Sus scrofa: one gene and its partners. The protein of the gene in region 1 interacts with the protein of each later gene in a biochemical or structural test. Links are inferred from orthologs where the notes say so. Each region holds a gene or a part of one and is shown in the gene's direction. Other genes may lie near its edges.

The links.
Region 2: the proteins of NUP214 (region 1) and NXF1 form a complex in vitro, tested with the Homo sapiens proteins (4 studies listed by BioGRID and IntAct). The link is inferred for Sus scrofa from reciprocal best matches to the Homo sapiens genes NUP214 and NXF1.
Region 3: the proteins of NUP214 (region 1) and DDX19B are reported together in a solved structure, tested with the Homo sapiens proteins (2 studies listed by IntAct, with this or other methods). The link is inferred for Sus scrofa from reciprocal best matches to the Homo sapiens genes NUP214 and DDX19B.

Annotation. Positions count from the first base shown.
Region 1 is NC_010443.5:271,204,511-271,213,592, forward strand, and holds the end of NUP214 (nuclear pore complex protein Nup214), read left to right. Parts: intron 1-1,754; coding exon 1,755-1,926; intron 1,927-3,738; coding exon 3,739-3,878; exon of another isoform or gene 3,879-4,983; coding exon 4,984-5,008; intron 5,009-5,508; coding exon 5,509-5,542; 3' UTR 5,543-5,782; downstream 5,783-9,082. UniProt on the Homo sapiens protein: Part of the nuclear pore complex. Has a critical role in nucleocytoplasmic transport.
Region 2 is NC_010444.4:8,966,215-8,976,613, forward strand, and holds the start of NXF1 (nuclear RNA export factor 1), read left to right. Parts: upstream 1-3,853; coding exon 3,854-3,881; intron 3,882-6,906; coding exon 6,907-7,090; intron 7,091-7,314; coding exon 7,315-7,474; intron 7,475-8,190; coding exon 8,191-8,274; intron 8,275-8,382; coding exon 8,383-8,487; intron 8,488-8,610; coding exon 8,611-8,691; intron 8,692-8,827; coding exon 8,828-8,897; intron 8,898-9,021; coding exon 9,022-9,110; intron 9,111-9,239; coding exon 9,240-9,347; intron 9,348-9,518; coding exon 9,519-9,628; exon of another isoform or gene 9,629-10,399. Other genes in the region: STX5 (syntaxin-5), read left to right, coding at 1,558-1,717.
Region 3 is NC_010448.4:13,323,290-13,333,692, forward strand, and holds the start of DDX19B (ATP-dependent RNA helicase DDX19B), read left to right. Parts: upstream 1-4,951; 5' UTR 4,952-5,090; coding exon 5,091-5,147; exon of another isoform or gene 5,148-5,586; intron 5,587-10,403. UniProt on the Homo sapiens protein: ATP-dependent RNA helicase involved in mRNA export from the nucleus.

The DNA of each region.
Region 1 (9,082 bases):
GAAATCATGAGAATAGGCAGCTGTGGTGTGTCGTGTGCACGCGTGTGTCCCCTCCCCTCCCCTGTCCGGTTTACGGTCTGTATCATTGCGACTTCTCACTTTTCACTCACCTTCTACCGAGAACTCGGAGCAGTATTGAGTACTGGGCACTAGGTAAAGCCTGTGGGTCCAGGAAGAAAGTGTAACCAGATCTGTCGTCCGTCCTAAATAATTCAACGGCAAGGGTTTTTAGCACTTTCTTTTTTCCAGTCTGTTACAGTTGTAACCCAGCGGCCTCCGTCGCCACGGCTTGGAATTTCACTCAGGGTTTAAAGCGCAGAGTGTAAACCCAGACAGGAGCCTCACAGGAGGTACCATCTCGTCTGTGCTTCTGCTGCTAAAGGCAAATGGGCAAACGATTGAACCCCAGGTAGCAGCGAGCGAAGGGATCCCACGGACAGCCTTTCATATCCAGTATTTGATCTTTCCGATTCAGAGGCAGAAGCTCAGGCTGTGGTTATACCTGGAGTAAGAAGGCCTGAGTGGCCCTCTAACAGCAGGATTCGCTTTCTGAAAGGGGCCTGAATGAGGTCCCCTGTCCCTGGGCAAGTCCCCTGGTGGCTGTGCCCAGGCCACCATCGCCCCCAGAGCTCCTAGGCCAGTCGTCATTGTCAGCAGCACAGTCCTTGAGAGCACATTTCTTGGTCCATTCTGCCCCGTGCTGTTCAGTTGACACTTGCTCTGTATAATATGTAGGGAGAGTCTAGAATGTGATAGAGTGTCCGTACTAATGGCCAGGAATGATGTAAGCAGCAGCTCGGGGCCTGGGGACCCGCTTTCCGGAGCAGAAGACGGAGCCGCTCTTCCTGCCTCGTGGGCCTCCACCAGTCAGGGAGGCCACCCCGCGCAGGCCTGACCCTTCCTGCGCCGGGGGCCCCGGAGCCCACCCGGGGGTGGGGGGGGTCTTGGATGCGGGGCTCCCCTCGCGGCTGATGGATCGCTTTCTCGCGTTCCTGCAGCAGCCCTCCTCCAGGCACCGTGTGCCTCTTGATTGAGGAGTCGTCCCTTACTGCGCAGAGAGAGCGTTTAAAAAAATTCTTCCGTATGGGAGAGAGACTCCAGGGAGAGATGCGAGAGCCAGGCGGCTCTAAATTAGTCAAAAGCGCCTGGCCGGGCGCCAGGGCCATGCCTCTCCACTAACGCAGCTCCCAGATTCTCCCTGAAGCGGGGTCTCAGCCTCCAGTTTCAGAGTCTGTGTCTCCCTGGAGCAGGCGCCCAGCCTGCACGGTGCTAAGTAATGAGATGCGGCCTCTGACAGCTGGGTGGGGATTGGAGTCTTGAGGGTTTTCACTGAGGAGCCCAGAACATGCAGAGGGGCTGGGCAGGGGTCTGACATGCACCAAGGTGGTTCTTGGTGGCATTCAGATTCTCCAGGGAGACGTGGCGCTGACGTGTCCAGCTTGCCTCTGGGAGGGACCGGGGGTCTCCCAGACGTCTAGGGTCTGCTAGATTCTCAGAATTCCAGGGAGCTCTCCTAAGTGGACCCCAGACCCCTCTGCTGGCTGTGGAGGGTGGGTGGTCATGGTTTGGCATCCGGGGTGGTTTTATTATTTTGCTGGAGAAGGGGTATTGTCCTTTGCTATACTTTTTTGTATTTGACTTTCTAATGTTTTTTTCCCTTTTTTCCCTTCCTCTTTTGGTTTCTCACTGCTCACTGTCTTCTCTTCCTGTCTTCTTTCTTTCTCCCTATTTCTGTTTGCCTCTGTTTTGCTCAGGTGGCTTCGGTGCTGCTCCAGTGTTTGGCAGCCCTCCTACTTTTGGGGGATCCCCTGGGTTTGGAGGGGTGCCAGCATTCGGTTCAGCCCCAGCCTTTACAAGCCCTCTGGGCTCGACGGGAGGCAAAGTGTTCGGAGAGGGTACAGCGGCCGCCAGCGCGGGAGGATTCGGGTAAGCCCCCCGGGAGAGGCCTGGGGAAGCCCTCAAGCTCAGGTCAGCAAAGCACCAGGGCCCGGTGCTCCTGTTTTGGAAAGTTCTGTTTTCTCTACTTTTGACTGAGCTGAAAGCCCCTCCGTCCAAATCAGCCAACCAGGCGCTCTAGGATTCCTGTTCTTCCTAGCGGCAGGCCCGTTTCTGCCAAGCCAGGCTCTGTCGAGTACACGATCCCATCAGCTGTGTGGCCGTCCCTCGGTACAGAGGGTGCTGGTTGGTGGATGCCTGGTCTCCGGGTGGAGCCGGAGGATTGGTTACAGGAAGAAAATCCGTCTCACCGTGGCTGGCTCCAGCCCGGACTGACCCTTGTGTGATGACTTCTGATAGGAAATTCCGAATGAATCGTTTTCACCAGATTCTTTCCTCTCGGGGTTGTTGTGCAGAAGACCCTCTGTCCTTGAGCCAACCAGGCCTTGTGTCCCCTGCGCCACTGCAGCCGCGCAGGGCAGGGATTGGGCCCGCAGCCCCTGGGCCAGCTTCCACAGCAGGCGGCACCGAGACCCCGCACGCGTTTCGCAGTCTCAGGACTGCTCAGCCTTTGAAGCTGCTCAGACTGCCTGTGCATGGCCTCACTTGAAAATGCCATTCTAGAGACTTGCTGTTAAGGGCCCTAGCAATTGTCTGCTTACCAAAACCCCAAGGAGAACATAGCCCACAGCCCCACTAAAACATACGTGCTGATGGCCTCAAAGAGGCCCGTTCAGAGGAGGTAGTAATGTCTGAAATCCACGTCAGAGGGGCCTCCGGTGGCCTCCGCACTGGCCCAGGACGTGTAAAGCTGAAGCGTTGGGGAGACCTGGCAGGGTGCTTGGGTTGCGTGTTGGTGAGGCGATAGCACCTTTGTCTTGAAAATAAACTTAAGTGGTCCTGGAGCTCCCCAGTGGCTCGCCGGGTTAAGGATCCTGTGTAGTCACTGCTGTGGAACTTCTCTGTGCCACGGGCACAGCCAAAAAAAAACCTTAGGTGGTCCTTATTCATGGCCATTCCCCCCGTGGAAGATGCTGGCTCAGAAGCGCTGGAGAGGCTCGAGGAACGCGAGCAAGTCCTACTTTTTGGATTTTGCATGGAGACTGATGGGTCTTTTGAGTTGCTCCCAGGAAGTCAGGAAACCCCAAGACTTAAGGAACGCTTTCAAGGGAGGGTTGGGATCCCTTTAAGCCAGTATTCTTGGCAGTTCTGACGGACACTCGTCTCGCCAGTGACCGCCCAGCCCGTGATGCTGCAGCTGACTGGGAATCTCGAGGGTTTGTTTGTTTATTTGAAACCAGCTGTTTTCTTCACTGGTAAGAAAGGATCATGCTCTGCCTTGACCAGGGAGGCTACTCTCCCATGTACATCCTGACTGGCTGGCTCCCTGGCGCCAGCTCTGGTCGGAATCCCCAAAAGAGCCGTCACCTTTCTTCAGGTCCCGGGCTGTGACGCCGTCGCTGACCCGGCTGGCATCTGAGGAGTCCCCACGGTTGGATGAGAGAGGCCCGAGGCAGGAGTGGGATTAGAGCAGGACCAGTGACCTGGAATTTCCAGACAGTCAGATGGAGACTGAAACACTGGACCAGGGGTCCTCAGACTGTATTTCCCCCAAAGCGGAGGGGAAGGTTTGCGCCGGGCTCTAGCCTGTTTTCCCTGAGAGGCTGCCAGATTAAGCCGAGCCCGTCACCTCGAATCGTGTGTGTCGTGCCTCTCAGGACTCAGGAGGACGGACTGAGGCCATTGGGCAGCGGGGGGCCCCGTGGCCTCGCTGACACGGTCTGCTCTCTCACCCCAACCCAGGTTTGGAAGCGGCGGCAACACCACGTCCTTCGGCACCCTGGCGAGTCAGAACGCTCCAACTTTTGGCTCCCTGTCCCAACAGTCTTCTGGGTTTGGGACCCAGAGCGGGGGGTTCTCCGGCTTTGGATCAGGCGGAGGAGGTAGGCGGCCAGACAGCTTCCCGCACAGGGGCCCTCCTGGTTTCCTCGGTAAATGCCCGCCTGGCCCCCAACCCTTCCCAAAGAAGGGGGGCCTTTCCTGGCCGTTCAGTCCAGTATGTGAAAGGCTGAAGGTGCTTGGAAGACAGCGTGTTCTTTTAAGGTTTTGATTAGACTTGGAACATGCCGTTTCTTATCGAATAATGAGATGGCTCACTTGATGTTTCTCTCAGGATTTGAGGATTCCCAAAAAGTAACCATCCTACTAGATCTTGATGTAAAAATCTAAGCCAGCAGACTCAAGAAATAAGATACAGAAAAATAAAAACAACACATACTTTACCAAACGTCATTCGTCTGTTTGACACTCCACTGCACACAGTAGGATATATACGGTCTGCTGTTTTCCTTACAATACATGTGAGACACAGAAGTTATAGGCCTCGTTACTGTTTTACAAACAAAGATCCAGAAACTCCAGGGCGACAGACAGTGAGCAGCAGAGCGAGGTCTAGAACCCAAGTGTCTTGGGACTTCCCGCCGTGGCACAGCGGAAACGAATCCGACTGGTGCCCGTGAGCACTTGGGTTCCATCCCTGGCCTCGCTCAGTGGGTTGAGGATCCGGCGTTGCCGTGAGCTGTGGTGTGGGTCGCAGACGCGGCTCGCATCCCGTGTTGCTGTGGCTGTGGTTAGGCCAGCAGCTGTAGCTCCGATTCGACCCCCAGCCTGGGAACTTCTACGTGCCTCAGGTGCGGCCCTCAAAAGACAAAAGACGAAAACTAGAACCCGAGTGTCTTGCTGCTCTGGCCTCAGACGAGGAGGAGGCGGGTGGATGGGAAAGTAGGGGGAGGAGCAACCACGCTTTCTTAACGCGGGGGACCTGTGTGGTGGGTGCGGCAGGGAGGGGGCCGTGCCGAAGGCCCTCTGCCCACGCCGGTCGGGGAGGAGGGAGGACCCTGCAATACCCAGAAGGCCACGGCCCTTCCCGCGCGGCCGGAGGAGCAGGGCTTTCCCTGGGGAAACGCACGGGGAAGAACGTGGCCTGGAGACCACCTTTGTCTTTCAAACGTACGTGTGGCTTAACGGCCCCCTCTCCCTCTTTTTCAGGTTTCAGCTTTGGATCGTCTAGCTCGTAAGTATCTTTCCCAGTTTTGCGTCATTTAAATAAGGATGCAGGAGTGTTGATATGTGAAAATGCTGGGTTTTGCTCTGCGTGTGTAGCTTGCGGCCATTTTTCCTGCTGCAAAATCTTGTCCTGGAAGCTTGGCGGGTCGCAGCAGCTCTTGGGTTCTGCGGACGTGCAGAACTCGGCGGGCAGAGGGCGGGAGGTGCTGACGACAGGGTGCTGCTCGCAGGGCCGCGCCCCGGAGGGAGAGAGCGTGCCTTCTGAGGGGCAGGGCCTGGGAGGCAGGACTTGAGATGCTTTTCCTGACGTCCCTGTGCGGGTCTCCGAAGCCTCACGCTGCCTCCCGGGCTCCAAGCCCATTACCGGATTTGCTCTCCGGCTCTCACCCTGTGCTTCTGTGTGGAGCTGCGGGACATTAAAAACTCAGAGCCCGCGGGCAGCCGCGTGAGTCTGGAAGCCGCTGCTCTGAGCAGGCGCTGATCAGCCTCCCCGGCACTTCCTTGCAGGTCCGTCCAGGGCTTCGGTGGCTGGAGGAGCTGAGCGCCTGTCGGTGCTCCCTTCCTTCTGTTCCCGCGACCAGCCAGCTGCGTCTCAGCGCCTCATCGCTGAGAAGCCCCGGAGCAGTCCTTTGAAGTGGGCATCCTCGCTGAAATACACAGCCAGAAAGAAGCAGCAGACACCGAACTCCGGAGCTGCTGGCCTGCTCGTTTGGTTCTGTGTTTGTGTTGGTTATGCGCTGCCCCGCCCCCGCTATTAAACCGTTTCGTCTGTTTCTGCACAGAACGCGTGGGCCCGCTCTCAGGCCGCAGCCGAGGAGAGGCCTCTCCTTGTTCCTGTGGCTCTGAGAAACCTGCACGGCCTTCCGCCCGCCAGCCGTGTGTGTCCTCCCAGAGGGCCAGCGGGATCCAGTCCCGCGCAGGACGTGGACAGGCAGGGGCTTGTCCCAGACGCCCTCCCCTGGTCTCCCCGGGAAGAGGCCGGTGCTGGCCAGCCGCCTTCTCGAGGCCAGAGCTTCGTCTCTTCTTCCGGGGTCTTTGCTCTTGGGTATCGGGCCCCTCAAGGTGCCAGCTTCACGACTGGGTGGAGGCAAAGAGACTCACTTCGGCCGGCGTCGGCTGAGTTTCCGAAGGGGTGTTCGCGCCTCTCGGGCCAGGTGTCTGTGAGGCAGGTGTGGAAGACGGGGTGTGGTCTGGTGACAGGTGTGCTGTCCTTGGAGCACGTCTGTCTGTCTGCTCCATTTGGCCCTCGATGCCATGTGTCTGCTGGTGAGGTCTTCTGCTCTGAGGAGCGCTGGGCAGTTGATTGCGAAGACAGCTTTCATGTCCAGTAGGTGACAGTGACGATGGGGGCCCCTCCCGGCTCCTTGTCCATGAACCACAGGGCATGTAACCCTTGGGTGGAGCCGGGAGTTGAGGAGACGCTGCCGCCGCCCAGCGTCACTGCAGGAGTGTCCCCGAGGACGGCCTGGAGGTGGCGACTTCAGTCTTAGTGTCGCCTGCTCGTGGTGCGGCGATGCCCACGTCTGGGCGTGTTTTAGTTCTTAGGCCTGCGATGTCCTGGACAGTTGCTGACCAACCAGGACTGCCTCACACCAAGCGTAGGCCTAAAACCTTGTTATCTTCTGGGTCCAGAATACAACGACGCCGTGGCCTGAGTCATCCGCAGGAGAGGCTTGGAAAGGGGCAGCTGTTCAGATTTTTCATGCTGGCAAGTCATGTTTTAGGGGCTGTGATAAAGGTGTTCCCCGTGGTTTAGTTTGTCACATCACAGCAGCCAGTGCGGCCTTGATGGTTCCGCTGGCCGTCGAGAGGGTACACCTCGGCCGGGACCCCGGGCCACCACCGGCTCTGCTGGGCCTGCTCTGCCGGTGCCTCCCACTCCCTGGGGGTCCTGAGACCCCCAAGGCTCACACCTGCACGTCCTGATTCAGTAGGACTGAGGCTGGGCCTGGGCACCCTAGGGCACAGAATTCAGTGGTTTCTCTGGCTCAGCAGAGGAGGGCGTCTCAAGAGTGCAGCTCACCGGGTTTCAGGAACCCCAAACCTGAATGAGGTCCCTGGGTGACCGAGCCTGTTTTCTGTGCTGTTGGTCAGATTCTGTCCAGATCTTCCATTAAGGCATCCGTGGCCTTCAAGGAGCTTGGACTCTGATAACTTAACAGGTCCCCTTTTCCGTCCTTGCAGCATTGAGAGCCTGTGTCCACTTCATGAGGCCCCCTTGGCCCTGGAGCCAGCCCCAGACGTCACCCAGCCAGGCGCAGGGCTCGTTCCGCCCGCGTGTGCTCTCCCTGGTTTGCACCGGGGCCAGCTTGAGACAGAGACACTCAGGTTTTGAGGGGAAGGCTCCTGGCGGAGGCCTTGCTTTAGGGGAGCTCTGACTGCCAGCAAGAGCTGACCTGCCTCGGCATGTCCTGCTGACCAGCGCCCAGACAAGGGCCACCTCCTGTCCTGTGTTCCCCCCAGAGGCTCTTTTTTATAAATAGAAGCTGGTTTGGCCTAAACCCTTGACCTCAAATTCTCTGCCTTAATCCTGCATTGAGGTGGCATGTGGCATCTCTCTGTAAGGCCATATCAGCTGTGCTTGGCCAGATAACCCCCACATCGCTGTCAGGCCGCGGCACGGGGAATGTGCTGCTGGCCCAGGAGCCCCTCTGAGCTCCTTTTTTGGGGTCGGTTCACTGGTAGGTGGCAGGGGTCATCTCTGAGCACAGCCAGCACACACCCCCTGAAACCCAAGCTCCCAGGATATCGGGCTTCCCGCCTGTCTGGGGAAGACGGCGGGCACCAGCCTTGCCCAAATAGGGGCAGACGGAGAAGCACCGAGAGCTGGGGTGTGGGGATCGGTCCCGGTAAAGGGGACCCCAGGTGCAGTGGGGCAGTCACCACTGGCTCAGTGTGTGTTTCCACCTATGTAACTGCGGACGGGCAGGAAGGAAACGGGGCAGCCCTTTGAGCTGGGTCGTGTCGCTGGGCTTTGCCACGTGTCGGTGCTCATCATGGTGCTTCAGAGGGCAGTGCAGTGGCAGAGGCCACGAATCGGGTTTCTCAGGGGCAGGAAAAGCCCAGCGAACAAAACGGGCTGGTGAACAAGTCCCCTCGTGTGTTGTGAAGCCGTCAGTACCCGAGCTGGTGGCCCCTCATCCCCACATGCATCCTGCGGCGGCCTTCAGTTTTGCTTTCTGTTTCTGGCAACTTCCAGAGACGTTTCCGGCTCAGGTCTGTGGCAGGACAGAGGGGGTGTGGACCTTGCAGGCTGACCCTGGCCCTAAACCTCACCAGCTCGGGGGACCCGCCTCCGAGTGTCACAAGGGCTTCTCCCTGGGTGGTAAAGTGCAGGGCGGTCGGGAGGCGTTTATGACATGCTCCCCACAGAGCACCTGGCACAAGTAGGCTCTCCCTCAGGGTGGCATTCGCCCTGCAGACCCTGCCCTACGTGCAGGGCAAACCATCCTAAGTGGATGCCCACTTCAGCCTCCTGGCTTGCGGTGGGGGGGCCTCTTCCCCCCGGCTCTCGGGCCCTAAGTGTAGCAAACACGGGGCCACGCTGGATGAAGAGGCCGCCCCTCCCTTAACGAAGCTCCAACGCACGAGCGCCGCGTCCTCATTCGAGATTCAAGTCAAATTCTGTCAGCAGAGCTGAGTTGGTTCCTGGAATCTGAGTTTTCAACGGGCTTCACAGGTGGCTCCCACGCAGATGCTCCATGGTCCGCGTATAGAGAATTCTTGAACGGCAACACTCATAAATGTTCTCTTCCAGGGGAGCCTCCGAAAGAGGCCCTCGCTCCCGTGCACCTGTTTGTTTTGCCGTTAGTCCAGGGAAAGGGATCTTTCTGAAACTGTTGGTGAGAGCGAGTTTAAGTTTCAGCTGCATTTGGGGCACCTGCTCAGAAGGGAAACGGGAAAGCACAGGTGGGCTGTCACCTCCTTCTTGCTCGGACAGCTTCTGAAGCCGCCTCCGTGAGCCCCCGCCTCCCCGGCCACATCCTGTCTCCTGACAGGGCTCACTCCTCCAGACTCTGGTCGCTAGACCGTCCTGTAGCCAAAGCAGTGCGCTTGCTTGGCTCTGGCTTCCTTTCCTTTT
Region 2 (10,399 bases), on another chromosome or scaffold:
TCTGTCCTCACAGCGCACGATGGTTTCTGCTCCCTGCGACTCCCTTTGCAAAGACCAGGGTTCATATTTCGTTTTCAGGATTGCACATGCACGTTAGCTGGGAAATGTTTTATTTTCCTCAGCAGCCTCTCAAGAGATTGCCATTCATTCTTCTGAGGACTTCTCTATATCCTGAGAGACATGTTCTAATATCGGGCTTTTCTTTTCTTTTCCTTTCTTTTTTGGCCATGCCTGTGGCACGCAGAAGTTCCCGTGCTAGGAATCGAACTCAAGCCACAGCAGTTACAATGCCAAGTTCTTAACCGGTAGACTACCAGGGAACTCCCTTGGGCTTTTCTTTTTTTCTTTTTATGGCTGCACCTGCAGCATATGGAAGTTCCTGGGCTAGGGGTTGAATTGAAGCTACAGCTGCTGGCTTACACCACAGCCACAGTAATGCCAGATCTGAGCCACATCTGAGACCTACACGGGATCCTTAGCCCACTGACAAGGCCAGGGATCGAATCTGCCTCCTCATAGACACTATGTTGAGTTAACTTGCTAAGCCACAGCAGGAACTCCCCTGGGGCTTTTCTTTATCTCCTTTCTGTCCGTATCATCAAGTTTTTCTTCCTTTCTCACTCAGAACCAGGGTTTCCTGACCATAATGGCCTGTGACCTTTCCCCCGTTATTACAAAGGCAATACTGCTTATCAGAGAAAAATCCATAAATACTGATGTGCAAAAAATTATAATGACTAACATTTTGGGTCCTTTTAGTATGAGTTAGGCACTCTACTCATTTAAGACTGACAGCAGCTAGAGAGGTGTGGTTTGTGTTATCTGAATTTTCTCCTTTGCAGTTGAGGAAAATGAGACTTGGGGTTAAGTGACTGGCTTAGGGTCATATGCTACAGAGCTGATTTTCAAACCAGAGCCAAGATTTGTTTATATTACCCTTCCAGAGCATTTTCTGGAAGGGTAATATAGATATATTTTTTTGTTTTGTTTTGGTCTTTTGTCTTTTTAGGGCTGCATCCACGGCATATGGAGATTCCCAGGCTAGGGGTCAAATAGGAGCTGTCGGTGCCGGCTTACACCACAGCCACAGCAACACAGGATCCTAGCCACGTCTGCGACTTATACCACAGCTCACGACAACAAAAGATCCTTAACTCACTCACTGAGCGAGGCCAGGGATCAAACTGGCATCCTCATGGATGTTAGTCGGGTTCATTAACCGCTGAGCCACAATGGGAACTCCCCTCTTTTCTTTTTTAAACGGCTGCACCCACAGCATATGGAAGTTCCTGGGCCAGGGGTTGAATTCAAGCCTCAGCTGTGGCAATGCCGGATCCTCTAACCTAACCCACTGCGTTGGGCTGGGGATCAGACCCGTGTTTTTTGCAGTGACCCGAGCCGATGCAGTCGGATTCTTAACCTACTGTGTGCCACAATGGGAGCTCCCAGAGCTCTCCCATCTACAAATACATGTACACACACACAAAAATACATTTCAACAGCATTCCTTTTAATCAAGTGTCACTCTTTTTCCCCTCCTCTCGGCCCTCTCTCCAGGATCGACGAGAACGTGCTAGGAGCCCAGCTGGACGTTGAGGCCGCCCACTCGGAGATCCTCAAGTACTTCCAGTCGGTCACGTCCAACCGGTGGCTTATGGTCAAAATCTTCCTCATCCTCATTGTCTTCTTCATCATCTTCGTGGTCTTCCTTGCCTGAACCCTCTCCAACGCTGAGGCATTCCGTGGGGGTTTGGAACCCTCCTGGGAGGGCAGGTGGCCAGAGCTGCCACTGAGCCTGTGCAGGGTGCTTGGGAGAAAGGCCCTGTTTCCCTGGAACTGCTAAGAACGGCCACTGCCCCTGATCTCCCACTCCTTGCCTCTGGCCACCCTGTCCTCCCCTCACCATCCTCAGGCCCATGAAACACACGGTTCTGGATTTGGACTCTGCTGTGAAGTGGCTGGAAGGGAGCAGAGGCCAACTGGAGGGCTCTTCGGGGAGGTTGTCTCCACTGGAGATTTTTATAAACCCTCCCCAGCCTTTCTCAACTCTGGCAGCAAGGGGAGATGATGCCCTTCCCCACCTTCCTGAGAGTGAGGAGAGGAAGTGAAACTTCCCCAGGGACCAACTTTCCCATCTGGGTTAAAATTTACCTCTTCCTCTCTTCACCATGTGAGGCAAGGGGCCCTGAGCCCTTTGGCTGCCTACACAACCCCAACTCTGGCTGCAGATGACTCTCAATCTGCCAAATGTGCTGCGGCCCGTTTCCTCCCAATTACAACAAGACTGTCAGCCTCACTAGCCATGTCGTCATTTCGGGGTGGGAGCGTCGAAGGGCCTTGGCAGCAAGTGGAGTGAGCCCACTGCCCAGCATCATAACTAAAAGGGTTGGGCTGATGGCCCTGACGGGCCAGGCTCACTCACTCTGTGCACACAGCTGCCTCCCGCAGGGGGTTTCCAGGTGTAGCAGCACTTAGTTAGCATGGAAACTTCCCTTCAGAGGCCCGTAACAGGATCCCAGCCTGGGTCCCTGATTGACGGCAACTTCCAGGACCATCTCCAGAAGTATTTGGACCTGTCTCATCTGCATGCTCCAACCATTTGGCCCCAAACTTACTTGCGCTGGATGAAGTAGGAGCCCTGCCTGCTGCTAGGAGTGAAGGTGACATGAAGAATCCGTTCCCAGCTCCAGCTGAGGCTCTTGGTCCCCTTGAAGCCCCTCACCACATCCAAGCCAGTCAGAAGAATGAAGGAGTGACCTGCCTGGAACACCCACCCTCCAGGGAGGTTAATATGCTTTCTAGTCCTGACCAGGACCCAGAACCACATCATCCTGCATCACTGGAGTTCCCCCACTTCACACACCCGAAAGGAAGCTCAAGCTGTAGAGACAACAGTCACTATACACTGTGCTGGCCCCAGTACTTTGAGGGGTCCAGGAGAGCCCAGGTCTTTCCTAGCCATGGCATTTTAATATTTCCTCTCCCTTTGGCCTGTGTTCAGCGTGTGGTCAGGCTGGCCTCCTCACTGCCCAGTTGACACAAGACGTGGGTTTAGCATAGCACATCCCGGTGGGTTGGTGGGTGGGTTGGTTTGTGAAGACAGCCAAAGCCTGGCAAATGCCGTTTTTCTCTCCTTTGATTGCAACTCTCTCGGAGGGAATGCATAGATCAGTAGTTATTTCACAAATATATGTTGGGTTCCTGCTGCGTGCGTGCTAAGTATGGTATCCAGTCAGGTGCCGGAGAGAAAAAGCCGTGAATTAATCAAGCCCCTGCTCTCTAGGAGTTTACCGTTAGTTTTCTATTTCATTTTATAGGCGAGGAGACCGAGGCCTAGATCTGCAAGTGTCAAAGGGCTGAGCTGAGACTTGCCCTGGCTGGATCCTTCTAGGTGTCTATGTGCGGTCACTCCCGCTCCTAAGGGCCTGGTCTCCCACTCCTCGGAAGCCCTTCCTGTAGCCCCTCTTCCCTGTTCCTCTCGGAATCCTGGGCTGCAGTAGCCACCTCTCCGCTTCACCGCTGACCCTGGAGGTGCTCCAGCAGAGAGCTACTAGCGGCGGGGTGGATGAAAGCAGGGGGCCGGCGAACCCGCGGTAACTCGGCTTCCCAAGCTCAGGTCCTGGGCGGGGCGTGCAACGCCAAGTCCCGCCCCCGGCTAGTCCGCTCGTCGAATGCGCACGCGCGTCTCCCAGTGGTTCCGCCCATCACCGTGGGACGTCGGCTGCGCGCGACGCGCTGGCCGCATAAATGCGGCGGCATCCGGCGTAGGAGCACTTCAGCCGGGAGAGCCTGGGCGTTCGGACGTTTGCCGGTGTCGCGGGCCGCGACAGAGCCCGCCCCTGCTCGCTGCGCCATGGCGGACGAAGGGAAGTCATACAACGGTCAGTGCTGGCCCTTGGGTCGGGGAGCCGGTCGATCTTGGGCCCTGCTGGGCTGCGCCAGCCTAGGCCGCAGCGCCGGGGCGTGAGGCCGCGAGGGGCCCGGCGTCCACGGGGAACGGCGGTGGCGCGGCGCGGGCCCGGGGCGAGGCAGCCCGGGGGCCTGGGTGAGCTTGAGGGTTGGGTGCCGGGGTTGTTGACGCTGGGATCCTCCCTTTGCGGGCCCCTGCGACTCGGAGAGGTGGCTCAGTGGTGGGGTGATGAGATTCCTTTGAACTTTGTGGGTGGTTGATGCCTGTCAGTTCAATTTGGCGGCCAAACTGTTTAATGTGAGTCAGTGCCCTTCTCCTGGGCTGATGTGCCCTATTTTCTACCGCGCGTCCAGGCGATTTTGCCCCCTCCCCCACCTAACGCGTCTGTCGCTTAGGCTTAATATTTTAGATCTGCACATCAACTCGATGTTCTGGTCCAAACACTACACTGAGTTTTAGTCCAGAGCGGTGGTTAGGAGCCGAGGTTTCAATCCCGAGTTGGCTATGCCAAGCTTGAGTAACTTACACCCTCAGACTTCGTTTTCCATCTCCTTAATGAGGATAGAAACAGTACCAGCCTTCTGAGTTTGTCTCCGTGTGTGTGTGTGTTAAAACGAGATCATTCATGTCAGGTGCCTGGAGCATAGTGCCTGACACTGGAGAAGAGTGCTCAGTGAATGTTAGCAACGACTTGTGTGCATTTATTACTTTTTTCCTAGGGTAACTTCTTGAGAAACTCATATTTTTAGTTTTTTAAGGAACCTCCATACTCTTTCCCGTAGTGGCTGCACCAGTTTTCATTCCTACCAACAGCGTAGGAGGGTTGCCTTTTCTCCACATCCTCTCCAGCATTTGTTTTTGTGGACTTTTTAATGTTGGCCATTCTGATTGGTGTGAAGTGCTACCTTATTGTGGCTTTGATTTGCATTTCTCTAATAATTAGTGATGTTGAGCATCTTTTCATGTGCCTGTAGGCCATCTGTATCGTGGGTCTTTTTTTTTTTTTCTTTCTTTCTTTTTTTTGCTTTTTAGGGCCCCAGCCGAGGCATATGAAAGTTCCCACGCTAGGGGTCCAATCAGAGATGTAACTGCTGGCCTACACCACAGCCACAGCAACGCCGGATCCTTAACCCACCGAACTAGGCCAGGGGCTGAATCCGCATCCTCATGGATCCTAGTTGGGTCCGTTAACCACTGAGCCACGCAGGGAACTCCTTCATGGGTCTTTTTTAAGAAGCGCTTCCTACACACCAGGGTTCAGAGGATCATATTCTTGGAGAGGACCCTTGGTGAAGCATCCTAACTGCCACTGGAACCTGAATTCAGGAGTTGTCTCCTTAGTTAAAAGCCTTTTCTGACCAAGAAAACAAAGAGCTCACTCCCAAACGTTCAGAGTGGCAGTTTGAGAATAAGACTTTTAAAAGAAGCCCTTAAATTGGTCCTATCTGTGTGTGGTGTTTGTATTGTATGGGCAAAAGGAGAGCTGTTTCCCCGAAAGCTAGTGTAATCATGAGGACGGATTTGCCACCTGTGAGAGGGGTCACCTCGGGGTTAAGTAGATTTGGGTGGGCCCACAGAAAGCGGATGTCGGGTGACTTTTGAGGGGTTCGAATTGTGTCCAGTTACTCTGGGTCACTCACACTTCACATTCACTTGAGAGTGGCAGTTGGAGAGCAAGATTTTTTTTTTTTTAAATCTTTTTAAATTGAGGAAGGTTGATTTACAATGTAATGTTGGTTTCAGGTGTACAGCATAGTCATTCCTGTATTTATAGATTACACTCCATTAAAAGTTATTGGAAAATAATCGTTGTCATTCCCTGTGCCGTACAACAGATCCTTGTGGCTTATCTCTCTTATACTTAGTAGTTTGTATCTCTTAATCCCATATCTTGCCTTATCTTGCCCCTCCCCCTCATAACCACTAGTTTGTTGCCTGTATCTGTGAGTCTGTTTCTGTTTTGCTGTATACATTTTATTTTTTTAAATTCCACCTGCAGGTAATGTCACATAGTATTTGTCCTTTTCCCTCTGGCTTATTTCACTAAACGTAATACCCTGCAAGTTCATTCATGTTGCAACTATGGCAAGATTTCATTCTTTTTGATGGCTGAATAGTATTCCGTTATGTGTGTGTGTATGCACCACATCTTTATCCATTAGTCTCTTGGTGAACACTAGGATCGCTTCCATAGCTTGGCTACTGTAAATAGTGCTACCGTGAACATGAATCTTTTTGCATTATATATTTCTTTCTAGATGTATATCTAGGGGTGAAATTGCTGGTGGTCATATGGTAGTTCTATTTTTAGTCTTTTGAGAGGAGAACAAGACTTTAGAAGATGCTTGTGGAGTTCCCTGGTGGTTCAGCAGGTCGAGGATCTGATGCTGTCACTGCTGCAGCATGGGTTTGAGCCCTGCCCTGGGAACTTCTGTATGCCTTGTGGGTGCAGCCAAAAAAAAAAAAAAAAAGGTCTTAAATTGGTCATATTTGTAACTGACATTTGTGCTCTATAGGCAAGAGTCCTGTTTACCAGAGCTGATGTAATCATTGAGATTGGTTTTTCCCCTTGTGATTGGTTTTCCTTTGTGATTGGTTTCCCAAGATATAATCACTGACCACATTTCCAGTGGAGTTAAGTAGACTTGGGCACTTGAGAGCAGGCAGTTTTCAGGTGACCTGACCGAGTGTGAGTTGTGTCCAGTTACTGCTCGGGACACTCGCACTTCCACATTCTGCTTCTCCTTTGTAGTTCCAGTTTCTGCTTCATTTTTCTAAAGCCTTATACACAGTTTTCCAGGGATGTTTCCCTTTTGCTGCCATCCCACGGAGAAGGTTCTTTCCCTGGCCAGGCAGAGGAGTTTGCCAGGAGGTGGGCTCTGTCGTGATTGTGTGTCTCCTGTCTGGTAGTGCAGGGTGCTGGATACTGGGATCGCCCAGTAGGGGAGCTGAACCAGGGATGTATTTTCTAATTTGTGTCCCGTTTCCAACCCCAGAGCACGATGATCGAGTTAGTTTCCCTCAAAGAAGGAAGAAAGGCCGAGGCCCTTTCCGGTGGAAGTGTGGCGAGGGGAACCGGCGCTCTGCAAGGGGAGGTTCTAGCATTCGGTCTTCCCGCCTTGAGGAAGATGACAGAGATGTGGCAGTGAGCGACGCCCAGGATGTTCCCCGACTACGATAGTGAGTAACCAGTTTGTCCGGTTTGAGTTCAGCGACCCGTTTGTTTCCGTGGCCTTCTCACCACAGTGCGTGTGTCATTTCTCTTCGTTGCTGGACGAGAGAGACATGCCAGAACCAGCCTCCTGGTTGAACAGCCGTAGGCCTGGTCCGGACACCAGGGCACGAAGGTCCCCGAGAAGACAGGCCTCACTTTGTGGATGTTTGATTCCCTCCTTCCCCCACAGCAACCCCTATGCTCCGCGACCCAACCGTCGGGGCGATGGTTGGCACGAGCGGTCTCGAATTCACGTCACGGTGCCTCTGCGGAGAGACAGAGTTCCTCCAGAGAGGGGAGGAGCCGGCACCAGCCAGGATGGGACCTCAAAGAACTGGTTTAAGATTACAGTGAGTGTCTTGGCAAGGGCGCAGAGCCGGGGTGCTGGGGGGCCGGGCCCAGGGTGAGGGGTTTCCTTCGCACATCACAAGGTTGGGCTTCTCAGCGGCTCACTCCACAGTCAGGTGGCCATTCTTTCTCCTTAGAATCCCTGTCTTAAAAAACCTATGAGCAGGTTCAGAAAAGGAGAAGGAGACAAGTGGGATTGGGGGGGGCATCTAAAGGGAAATGTGGCAACTGTGGTTGGGAGCTGGACTGACTCCTCCGGATTTCTCCATCGCCCTCAAGCCCAGCGTGGCGGCTGGGGGCCCTGGGGTTCTCTGAGCCAGGCAGGTTATCAATGACACCTTGCAACTTTTAGAATCAAGCAATTTGAGGAGTTCCCTGGTGGTGCAAGGTTAAGGATCCAGGGTTACTGCTGTGGCTTGGGTCACAGCTGTGGCACGGGTTCAAAACCTGGCCCAGGAATTTTTCAGGCCACAATTAGGTCCCCCCCCCCAAAAAAAAGAAACAGTTTGATTCTTTTGAGGAAAAATTCTGCCCAGTATAAATAGACAAAGAGGAGGTTAAGGAATCTGTGTTTGGCTTGAATAGAAAAGCTTTCACTGGCCATTTCTTTCGAAAATGTTTTAGAGCTGGCCGGTGATATGAAGAGAGCACGAGGGCAGGCCTGCTGGTCAGCGATGGTTGTACGCTGTTCCCTTTTCTCTCTCTCTCTCTCCTCCAGATTCCTTATGGCAGGAAATACGACAAGTCATGGCTCCTGGGCATGATTCAGAGCAAGTGCAGTGTCCCTTTCACTCCCATTGAGGTAAACTCCGGCGTGAGTGGCTGGCCGGGCCCCAGGGGAGGTGGAGGTACCAGCTGGGCCAGGGGCTCTGGGCTCCAGGCCTGACACTCTTGTTTCCTCTTCCGGCAGTTTCACTATGAAAACACACGGGCCCAGTTTTTTGTCGAGGACGCCAGTACCGCCTCGGCATTGAAGGCTGTCAACTATAAGATTTTGGATCGGGAGAACCGCAGGGTGTGTGCAAAGGGCCTGGCGTGCTCGGGGGCGGGGCTTGGTGCTCAGGGCTCCGACTGAGTCTCGGTCCCGGGGCTCGGGCCTCCCCGAGTTCACCCTGCCCCGGGTCTTCCTTGTCCGCAGATATCTATCATCATCAACTCCTCTCCGCCGCCCCACACTGTGCAGAACGAGCTGAAGCCGGAGCAAGTCGAGCAGCTCAAGGTGAGGCCGGTGGGCTGAATGGGTGTGTCCTTCCAGTTGTCACCCCCCACACACACCCACCTACCCACCCACACACACACACACACAGCCCCAGAGACTGCTGAACTGCTGCTGAACGCTTTGTCTTCCTCTGTAGCTGATCATGAGCAAACGATACGACGGCTCCCAGCAAGCCCTTGACCTCAAGGGCCTCCGTACAGACCCAGGTACGGTCCACAGCAGGAATGCTTAGACGGTTGGAGACAGAGGGGGCTCAGTCCGGCAGAGAAAGTTGGAGAATGGTGCGGGCCCCAACACCCCCTCAGACTGACTTCCCTTTCCTTCCTGAAGACTTGGTGGCCCAGAACATCGACGTGGTCCTGAACCGCAGAAGCTGCATGGCAGCCGCCCTGCGCATCATCGAAGAGAACATCCCTGAGGTGAGGCCTTTGTCCCGCCCGCGGGGCGTGAGGACACGGGGGTGGTGTAGATGGGAGGGGCCTTCATGGCAGGCTTGTTTCTAATCCCCTCGCTGGCCGTGCTTCCTCTAAACTCTTCTCTCCCCACAGCTGTTGTCCTTGAACTTGAGCAATAACAAGCTCTACAGACTGGATGACTTGTCCAACATCGTGCAGAAAGCACCGAATCTAAAGATCCTAAATCTCTCTGGAAACGAGGTGAGATGGAGAGCCTGGTTGTGTTCTGAAGGGGGGGTGGGTGGGCAGAGGGTGCTGACCGCGGGAGACAGGGGGCGGGCGTTTCAGAGTCGAGGGGGATTACGGGGGGCAGGGGGGCACGAGTGGGGATCCAGCTGGCTGCCTACCCGCCTTTTCCCCCCTCCCTTGCAGCTGAAGTCTGAGCGGGAGCTGGACAAGATCAAAGGGCTGAAGCTAGAAGAGCTGTGGCTCGATGGAAACACCCTGTGTGATACCTTCCGAGACCAGTCCACCTACATCAGGTCAGTTGTAGCCTCTGTCTCCCCTCCTGGGGACCTTCACCCCCCGGGAGGCTGAGCTGCTGCCCCCTGACCAGTGCCCATCTGCAGGAGATGTGCAGCCCTGAGCTGGAACCACCTGTCCTTTGGGAGGATCACGTGCTCCTCCCTCTCGTCTGTCCGTGTCCCCAGCTTGGCCCTGGTCTCCTGCCCTTCCTTCCCACCTGACTGCTCTTTGCTGGTTCTGTGGCCTTTCTCCCTCCTTCCTGAGCACAGCCTTTTCCAGACTCTCCCTGCCCTCTGTTCCAGGAAGAGCATCTCCCCTTTTCTCCCGTGACCAGGGGGTGTCGTGTATGTGCCCCACACGTGGGGTTGATTTGAGCAGCCAAGAGCCTGCTGCCCCTGGGCAGAGAAAGCCCTCCCTCCCCGGGGCTTCTGCTGATGGGCCTTCCCTCCTCTGCACTTGGGCCAGGAGGGCCCGCTTCTCTCAGTCCACGCGCCCAAGGCTGCCGCCTGGGCTTCCCCGCCCCCGCTGAGGTGGAGGCCTCCTGGGGGCTGCTGCCAGGCAGACGGTGTCTCTTGCCCAGTGCTCTGAGCTGAGCCCTCCCTGGAGGAGAAACCTGGGGTCCCTAAGACATGTGACCAGAGCCGGGGCCCCGCCGGCAGGCGAGGGCATCCCCAGGCAGGTGCTGGGCGTGGAGGCCGCGGGGGCGTAGGCTGCAAGGAGACGGAGAACTGACCCTCTCCGGGGGCGCTGCCCCTCCCTCGCTCGCACACCTCACATCACCCTGCTTG
Region 3 (10,403 bases), on another chromosome or scaffold:
TAAAAAAAAAAAAAAAAGAAATGGTGGGGTAGGGCGTAACTTCCTGCTGGTTGAGAATCTGCTGGTTGAGAATCCAACTCCTAGTGGCTCCAGTCACTGCAGAGGTGCGAGTTTGATCCCCAGCCTGACACAGTGGGTTAAAGGATCGAATGTTACCATAGTTGTGGCTCTGATTAGTTCCTGGTCTGGAAACTTCCATATGCCATGAGTGTGGCCATAAGAAAATATTTTTAATAGAAGGAAAACTATCTTTTCCTTTAGGGCCGAAGGTGCAGCTACTTTGCGAACAAAGCTCGTGGCAACCCTGGATCCTTTTTTTTTTTTTTTTTTTTTTTGGCTTTTTAGGGCCACATCTGAGGCATATGGAGGTTCCCAGTCTAGGGGTCAAATTGGAGCTACAGCTGCCAGCCTACACCACAGCCACAGCAACAGCAGATCCGAGCTGCATCTGCAACCTAGACCACAGCTCACAGCACCACCCAAACCTTAACTCACTGAGCAAGGCCAAGGATTGAACCCACATCCTCATGGATACTAGTTGGGTTCATTTCACTGAGCCACAATGGGAAGTCATAGAAGGAAAACTATCCTTTTTTTTTTTTTTTAGGGTTGCACCTGTGGAAGTTCCCAGGTTACGGGGTCGAACTGGAGCTATAGCTGCCGGCCTATGCCACAGCCACAGCAACGCAGGGTCCAAGCCATGTCTGCGACCTACACCACAGCTCACAGCAATGCTAGATCCTTAACCTACGAGCAAGGCCAGGGATGTAACCGGAAACCTCATGGTTACTAGTCAGATTCGTTACTGCTGTGCCACAACGGGAGCTCCAGGAAAACTATCTCTTTTTTTACTTTTTTTTTTTTTTAGGGCCACACCTGCAGCATGTGGAGATTTCCAGGCTAGGTGTCAAATAGGAGCTGTAGCTGCCGGCCTACACCACAGCCACAGCAACTCCAGGATCCAAGCCACATCTGTGACCTACAACACAGCTCATGGCAACGCCCATCCTTAACCCACTGAGAGGGGTGGAACCTGCGTCCTCATGGATGCTAGTCAGATTTGTTAACCGATTAGCCATGACAGGAACTCCCAGGAAAACTATATTAATGCAACATGCTAGTTGTCTGTTTTAGGAAACATCTAATTTATTCTGGGCTAAACAAATAGCCTGCAGGTAAGAGTGAGTGCTACATACAGAGCTTGCTCTGCAGTAGAATATTGATTGACCGTCAACTCCAGGCAAGATGAAGGTAACAGGGGCTCAAGATAGTGCTACTAATATACTTAGTTTTGGAAGGAAGTACTCTTAGGTTCTACAGCACCTAAGCAAACTTTTTTTCCCCCACAGCCACATCTGCAGTGGAAGTTCCTAGGCTAGGGGTTGAATCAGAGCTGCAGCTATGCTATAGCCACTGCAACATGGGATCCAAGCCACATTTTCAACCTACATCACAACTTCAAGCAATGCTTGGATCTTTAACCAAGGATCAAACTTGCATCCTCACAGATACTATGTTGGATTCTTAACCCACTGAGCCACAATAGGAACTCCCTAAGCTACTTTTATCATTTATAAAATGGACTTTGAATGTTCATTTATTTACCATCAAGTCAAATGGAATTGGCTGAAGAGTTGTTTTTCATACCATGAAGTGCTGTAGGAATCACCTAAGGATCTTAACATGCAGATCCCGATTTAGTAGATCTGGAGCAAAGTTCGAGACTTTGCACATTTCTAATAAGCCCCCTAGTGTTATCTATGCTACTGCTAGGGGATCACACTTGGAGTACCAGTGGTCTAAACTAGAAAATGAGCTTCTTCACATATTTGTTCAGAGGCAAACATTAAAAAGTTTGATCGGGGGAGTGGGGAGTGTATGTGCATTCCTAATCTATTTATTCACCATATAAGTCTGTTATATGTTAGACTGTAGAGATCAAAATTAAGGAGAACAGACACTGCCCTTGCGTTTATGCAGTTCCCAGTTTAAGGAGGGAGCCTGACATTTGGCCAAAAATAACTTTTAAAAAGTTAAAGTGGAAAAAAAAGGAAAAAGTCTCGAATACCCAAAGGCGACCCCTGGTGGAGCCAAGACCCAGGCCTTTTGCTCCTAGGTACCTCGGCGCGCCAGGGCCAGGCTTGCCATCCTCCCCTCTGATTGGCTGGCGGGACCGGCTTCCGGGCCTCAGCCAATGAGGCGGGGGCTGTGAGCGGCCGTTGGCCGAAGGAACCGCCATGCTGAAGGACGATGGCCGGGGCTGCTGGCCGTGTCCGAGAACAAGCTCTAGGGTGCTTTCCGCTCGCCCTGCCTGTGGGCGATGTGAGTATCTCTGAGGGTAGGAAGGAGACTCTTTTTTCCTCATTAAGGCATTCTCCTCGCCCCCACCCCAGGGGAGGGAACAGGAATAACCATAATAGCTTATATTTAATCGAGCCTTCACCGTTGGCCAGGCACTGGACCGAAGGCCTTAATCTTGTGATCTCACTGAGTCCTGGGACCGGAGGTGGGTGCCTACCGTGATTTCAGAGGAGACAGGGGCAGCCTAAAGTCGCGTGAGTGAAAATGCTGGAGGTGGAATTCTGATCCAGGTGCTCTTATTCCCCCGATTCCTCGCTCCACTCCCCTCTTTGGAAATCCGATTCCTTCTTAGTAGGAGTCTTAAATGGTGCAGGTGTTGGGAGTGGACATAGGAAAGTCTAGAACCCTGGGGCTTATTTTTAAGTTTTTCTTTGGTCGTACCCATGGCCAGGGGAAGGATCCCAGGCCAGGGACCGAACCAGCACTACAGGTAACCAGGGTCACAGCAGTGACACAGCTGGACCCTTAATCCACAGAGCCACCAGGAAACTCCTTGAGATTTTTTTTTTTAATAGAAAAAGTTGTACATACTAAAAGCATTTATAGGAAAGAAAAGCACTAAAATTCAAGAAAGCTTCTGTCTCGGGATGGCATGGAAGGAGCTTCATTTGAATCTTGTTTTATTTCAGTCCTGAGGTGGGAATCTAGATGTTTGTTATAGTATTCCCTTTTTTTGTTTGTCTGAAGTACAATTTTAAAAGGAAAACATGCACATGGAAAATTTATTCAAAGGATGAAGTGTGCACAATGAAAGGAAGTCTCTAGAGCCCCTCACTAGAAGCAGCCAGTGATACCAGTTTTGTGTGTATCTTATACACTGTCTTAGTATGTACAAGCATATATGTGAGTTTGTTATATTTGCACAAATGGATCCTACTGTTTACAGTCCTATATCTTTGATGATTATTTTTAATCTCATTAAATTTAAAAGTTCCTTAACCTCTTCTAGCCCTGTGATCAGTATAATTTGGCAGAACTTTCCAGGATTCCTTCTGACATGAGTTGTAGGTCATGGCCTGTTAGACTGTATGTTTGCCTTTTTCGTGCACACCCTCACCTGTAGGGTCCAAAGAAATCTTCCCCAAGTTAACCCTGTAAAGAGTGCAGGAGAGAAAGAGTCATGGCAAGAAGAGGATTCTGGGAAGTGCTCTACCCTTTCCCAAACATTTTAACTTAGAGTCTACAGGTAAAATTCCAAATAAAGCCCACTATTACTTGAAGTTAATCTGTTATAGTGGATTATTGGCAAAACAAGAGAGGTGGGGATTCATTTCTCACTCAGGTTGTAGGGAAATACCCAGTTTCTTTTTTCTTTTTTTTTTTCTGTTTTTTGTCTTTTGTTGTTGTTGTTGCTATTTCTTGGGCCGCTCCCGCGGCATATGGAGGTTCCCAGGCTAGGGGTTGAATCGGAGCTGTAGCCACCGGCCTACGCCAGAGCCACAGCAACGCAGGATCCGAGCCGCGTCTGCAGCCTACACCACAGCTCACGGCAACGCCGGATCCTTAACCCACTGAGCAAGGGCAGGGACCGAACCCGCAACCTCATGGTTCCTAGTCGGATTTGTTAACCACTGCGCCACGACGGGAACTCCCCAGTTTCATTCTAGTGAAGTAACAAGGAAAGAGAAGCTTGTTTGATCCCAGTTAAGGGAAAGTGTCACACTTAATCCTTATTTTACTTCTTCTAGAAGCCCAGTATTTTTAGAAATTTTATTTATTTATTGGCCACACCTGCAAAGCTCCCAGGCCAGGGATCGAACCCTTGCCGCTGCAGTTACCAGAGCCACAGCAGTGACAGTGCTGGATTCTTAACCCACTGAGCCACCAAGAAACTCCATCCCCCCCGCCTTTTCTTTTTAAAAATGATCTGAATCACAGAACCTTTACATGAGAGAGCTGGGATTCTAGCCTAGGCAAGGCTAAATCTAAAAGTCACACCAGATTGGCGAGTTCCCTGAAGTGAACTCATTTGCTCATTAAACTGCTCTGTGCAGCCCTTTTCATCCAGCCCTTACCAATTTATTCTTATCTGGTTCTTGTCATTGGTCGAGAAACTGTGTTCAGTTCCACACACACACAGTTCGGTTACTCTGTATCTCTGATCTTCTACTTGGAATACATTTCCCTAGCACCCTTGCTGAGCATTTTTTTTAAGATTAAATTCCTGTAAATGTATTGCCATACAGTCTGTGGGACAAATTTTTAACCAGTGTTTGAGAGGGCTGATTCTCGACACTCTAGGCAACACCTGCACATTTAAATTTACCAACCTGGAAAAATGAATAAAATAAAAATCCGCCTTTTTCAGGTTCATTTTGCTCACTATCGTAATGGATTTGTGTATTGGTATATTCCGTTTATTTATATTCTGACATCTTTGTCACTGTGCTGGGCAAGAATGTGGTTTTGTTCTTCGGTTGGAGAGCCCATTGGCAGGAGCTTCGGCACTTAAAGATAACTGTCCCAGTCTGCAGTTCTGCGTGTTGAATAAGAAACTCTGAGCAGTTCAAGGGGTGGGGGTCCGAAAGCGGCAAGAGCGACAGTCCATGGGGTTAGGGGCTGTCAGGCCGGCGCGGACTCCGACGTCACTGCGGCGCGCCGCTTCCGGTCCCCAGCGCCGGAGCGAATGACTTCCCCCTCCGTGGGGCCAGGGTTGCCCAGGGTTGCCCAGGATTGCGGATCGCCCGGGCAAGGTCGCCAGCACCTGCCTCCCACCGGCGCAAGGGACTATGGCCACCGACTCATGGGCCCTAGCGGTGGACCAGCAGGAAGCGGCGGCTGAGTCGGTGAGTAGGCTTCATCTATAAAAAGATCAGGGGGCCAGTTTTGACCGCAGATCAGATCCCTGGGAAAAGACACTGCCAGGTTGGTCTGGCCCGGGATGGGGTGCGTGAGCGGATGGAGCCTGGACCCTGAGCTGGCTTAGTTTATCCACCCGTCGCCTCTCCTGTCGGTTACGTAGGCTCAGGTGAGCATTTCCATCCGTGAAGATCCCAGCCGCCTGCTTGTCCTGAAGTCAGGCTTGCACTTACCACCCTGAATTGTAGTAATCACCTTTGTAGGTGTTTTTTTTCCACCTGCCGATTTTGAGTTGTTTGGGCTCAGGGACCGTGACTTTTTCATATTAGTGTGCTTCCTCAGCTGCTCAGTAAGGATGAATGATCGATTCCGTAGGCCTGGCAGTCAGTTAAATCCTCTCCTGGTCCGCTTAACTTCGTTCTGGATCTGACACACAGTAAGCAAGATATGCATTAAACGTTAGAATTAATTTTTCCTGCCTTAACTCTCCTGAATTCTGATACTGCTTTGAATGCACTTTGTCGGTACTTATGTCTGTTAACTTCTCAAGAACAAGGACTTGGTCTTATTTTTTTATAACTGATAAAAATGTTTCATATGTACGTAAAAAGTCAAATAGGTTTTTTTTTTGCCTTGAGGTTCCCAGCCTAGGGAACTAATGGGAGCTACAGATGCTGGCCTGCGCCACAGCCACACCAGATCCTAGCCACATGTGCAACTTACACCACAGCTCACAGCAACTGCCAGATCCTTACACCACTGAGCAAGGCCAGGGATCTAACCCACAACCTCATGGTTCGTAGTCGGATTCTTTTTCGCTGCGCCACGACAGGAACTCCAAGAGTCAAATAGTTTTAAAACTGGTTCCCACCAGTTTTTTCCTCCACAGAGTAAACTATTTTTCTTGAAATTGATTTACAGCATTGACCTGCTTGTTCCCTGAATAACATGCTTGCTTTTGCTACTTCTTGAATTTTCTGTTTTAAGTGTTTATTGATTTTGACACTTTCCTCAATCCTTTCCCTGCCACTAAAGCACACTTTCCGGTTCCTAATCTTTCTATTATTTGGGGTTTTAATTAGATCAGTCATCTGTGTTTATATTATTAGTAAGTCATGAATATTTTTATTTGCTATACAACTTTTCCTTGAAATTTAGAAGTGCCTTGTGTTTTTGCTTTGTGCACTTTGTGCTCATCACCAGTTCAACCCCAGGCTCTTTGCTGTCTATGTTTATTTCTGAATATTCACACACATCAAATATTCTATTAGTTCCATTTCTCCCAGGTCTTTTAGCCTCCTTCAAATTGTACTAGTTGCTCTGACTTGTTTTGGGCTCAAGGGAACAGGGCAGATTTCCCTTTGTCCTCATTCTGGGGGCTTCCTCCTCTTCGCTTGTATTGGATCCCCTCCTTTTTGCATCCCCTCTCTTCATCTTCCTTGATTTGGTGGAGCCATTCATCAGCTTTCTGAAGGTGTCTGGGAAGTAAAATATTTAAGATGCTGCCTTTCCAATATTAGCTTATTTTTCCTATCATCTAGTATGGCTGGGTGTAGAACTGTAAGTTGGGAGTTATTTTCCTGTGATATTGCCTTCTATATTTCTGTATTTGTTGTTGAGATGTGTGAGACCATTCTGATTCCTGATGTGACCTTTTTCCCTTTCTAAGCTTGAAGAATCTTCTGTTTGTCTCCAGTAGTCAAAAAATTCATGATGGTGTGTCCTGATATAGGTCTGTTTTCATTCATTTTATGAGGCACTGGTGGGAACTTCAGTCTGGAAAACTCTTGTCTTTGAGTTATGGGAAATTTTCTAGGAAGTTTTCTTTTTTCTTTCTTTCTTTTTTTTTTTTTTTGTATAATGATCATAACAATCTAATTTCACAGGATTTCCATCCCACAGCCCAGGCACATCCCCCCACCCTCCAAACTGTCTCCTCCGGAGACCATAAGTTTTTCAATGTCTGTGAGTCAGCATCTATTCTGCAAAGAAGTTCCGTCTGTCCTTTTTTCAGATTCCACATGTCAGTGAAAGCATTTGATGTTGGTGTCTCATTGTATGGCTGACTTCACTTAGCATGATAGTTTCTAGGTCCATCCATGTTGCAAAAAATGCTGGTATTTCGTTCTTTTTAATGGTTGAGTAATATTCCATTGTGTATATGTACCACATCTTCTGGATCCACTCCTCTGTTGATGGACATTTAGGTTGTTCCGATGTCTTGGCTATTGTAAATAGTGCTGCAGTGAACATTGGAGTACATGTGTCTTTGCGAGTCGTGATTTTCTCTGGATAGATGCCCAGGAGTGGGATTGCTGGATCAAATGGTAGTTCTATTTTTAGTTTTCTGAGGAATCTCCATCCTGCTTTCCACAGTGGTTGCACCAATTTACAATCCCACCAACAGTGTACTAGGGTTCCTTTTTCTCCACACCCTCTCCAGCACTTATTGTTTGTAGACTTTTGGATGATGGCCATTCTGGCTGGTGTAAGGTACCTCATCGTGGTTTTGATTTGTATTTCTCTAATAATGAGTGACGCTGAACATCTTTTCATGTGTTTCTCGGCCATCTGTATGTCTTCTTTGGAGAATTGTCTGTTTAGATCTTCTGCCCACTTTTGGATGGGGTTGTTTGTTTTTTTGGTATTAAGCTGCAGAAGGTATTTATAAATTTTGGAGATTAATCCCTTGTCAGTCGATTCACTTGCAAAGATTTTCTCCCATTCTGTGGGTTGTCTTTTTGTGTTGTTTAAGGTTTCCTTTGCTGTGCAGAAACTTTGAAGTTTGAGTAGGTCCCATTTGTTTATTTTTCTTTTTATTGTCAATACTCTGATAGGTGGATCTGAGAAGAAGTTGCTGTCGTTTATGTCAGAGAGTGTTTGGCCTATGTTTTCCTCTAGGAGTTTGATAGTGTCTGGTCTTACATCTAGGTCTTTAATCCATTTTGAGTTTATTTTTGTGTATGGTGTTAGGGAGTGTTCTAATTTCATTCTTTTCCATGTGGCTGTCCAGTTTTCCCAGCACCACTTATTGAACAAGCTGTCCTTTCTCCATTGTATAGTCTTGCCTCCTTTGTCATAGATTAGTTGGCTGTAAGTGCATGGGTTTAATTCTGGGCTTTCTATCCTGTTCCACTGATCTGTATTTCTGTCTTTGTGCCAGTACCATGCAGTTTGGTAATTTGATAGGGATTGCACTGAATCTGTAGATTGCCTTGGGTAGTATAGTCATTTTGATAATATTAACTCTTCCAATCCATGAGCATGGTATATCTTTCCATCTATTTGTGTCATCTTTGATTTCTTTCATCAGTGGCTTGTAGTTTTCAGAGTACAGGTCTTTTGTTTCTTTAGGTAGGTTTACTCCTAGGTATTTTATTCTTTTGGATGCGATGGTAAACGGGATTGCTTCCCTAATTTCCTTTTCTGCTTTTTCATTGTTAGTATATAGAAACGCTATCGATTTCTGTGTATTGATTTTGTATCCTGCAACTTTGCCAAATTCGTGGATAAGCTCTAACAGTTTTCTGGTACAGTCTTTAGGATTCTCTAGGTATAGTAGCATGTCATTTGCAAATAGGGATAGTTTTACTTCTTCCTTTCCAATCTGGATTCATTTCTTTTACTTCTCTGATTGCTGTGGCTAGGACTTCCAGAACTATGTTGAAGAGTAGTGGCGAGAGCAGACATCCTTGTCTTGTTCCTGATCTCAGCGGGAATTGTTTCAGCTTTTCACCATTGAGAATGATGTTCGCTGTGGGTTTGTCGTATATGGCCTTTATCATGTTGAGGTAGGTTCCCGTTATGCCCACTTTCTGAAGGGTTTTTATCAGAATTGGGTGTTGGGTTTTGTCAAAGGCTTTTTCCGCGTCTATCGAGAGGATCATATGGTTTTCATTCTTCAGTTTGTTAATGTGGTGTATCACACTGATGGATTTGAGGATACTGAAGAACCCTTGTATTTATGGGATAAATCCCGCTTGATCATGATGTACAATCCTTTTAATGTATTGTTGGATGTGGTTTGCTAGTATTTTGTTGAGGATTTTTGCATCAATGTTCATCAGTTATATTGGCCTGTAGTTTTCTTTTTTGTGGAGTCTTTGTCTGGTTTTGGTACCAGGGTGACGGTGGCCTCATAGAATGAGTTTGGGAGTATCCCTTCCTTGAAATTTTTTGAAATAGTTTCAGGAGGAGAGGTGTTAGCTCTTCTCTAAATGTTTGATAGAATTTGCCTGTGAAGCCATCCGGTCCTGGACTTTTGTTTGTTGGAAGTGGTTTTTTTTTTTTTTTTTGTCTTTTTGCTATTTCTTTGGGCCGCTCCCGCGGCATATGGAGGTTCCCAGGCTAGGGGTCGGATCGGAGCTGTAGCTGCCAGCCTACGCCAGAGCCGCAGCAATGCAGGATCCCAGCCGCGTCTGCAACTACACCACAGCTCACGGCAACGCCGGATCCTTAACCCACTGAGCAAGGGCAGGGATCGAACCTGCAACCTCATGGTTCCTAGTCAGATTCGTTAACCACTGCGCCACGACGGGAACTCCTGTTGGAAGTTTTTTAATACCAGTTTCAATTTCAGTTCTTGTGATGAGTGTATTCATCTTTTCTATTTCATCTTGGTTTAGTCTTGGAAGATTGTACTTTTCTAAGAATTTGTCCATTTCTTCTAGGTTTTCCATTTTATTGGCATATAGTTGCATATAGTAGTCTCTTATGATCCTTTGTATTTCTATGGTGTCCATTGTTACTTATTCTTTTTCATTTCTAATTTTATTGATTTGAGTCCTCTCTTCTTTTTTGCTTGATAAGTCTGGCTAGGGGTTTATCAATTTTGTTGATCTTTTCAAAGAACCAGCTTTTCGTTTCATTGATCTTTTCTATGGTTTTCTTTGTTTCTATTTCACTGATTTCTGCTCTGATCTTTTTGATTTCTTTCCTTCTAACTTTAGGTTAGAAAGTTTTCATTGTTGATTTCTTCCCTTTAGGTTTTTCTTCATTCCTGCCTTCTAGACTCACATTAGTCGAATGTTGGTTCTCTTGGTCTGCCTTTCAATTTTTTTAAGTCAAGCTTATTGAGATGCAGTTTAAATAAAGTAAAATTCACCACTGTTAGTGTTACAGTTCTGTGAATTTTGACAGAGGGATACAGTTGTGTAGCTACCACCACAATCAAGATACAGAACATTTCCACCACTCTGAAAAGTTCCCTCAAACTTTCAGCATTCACCTCCTTGTCCCTGCCC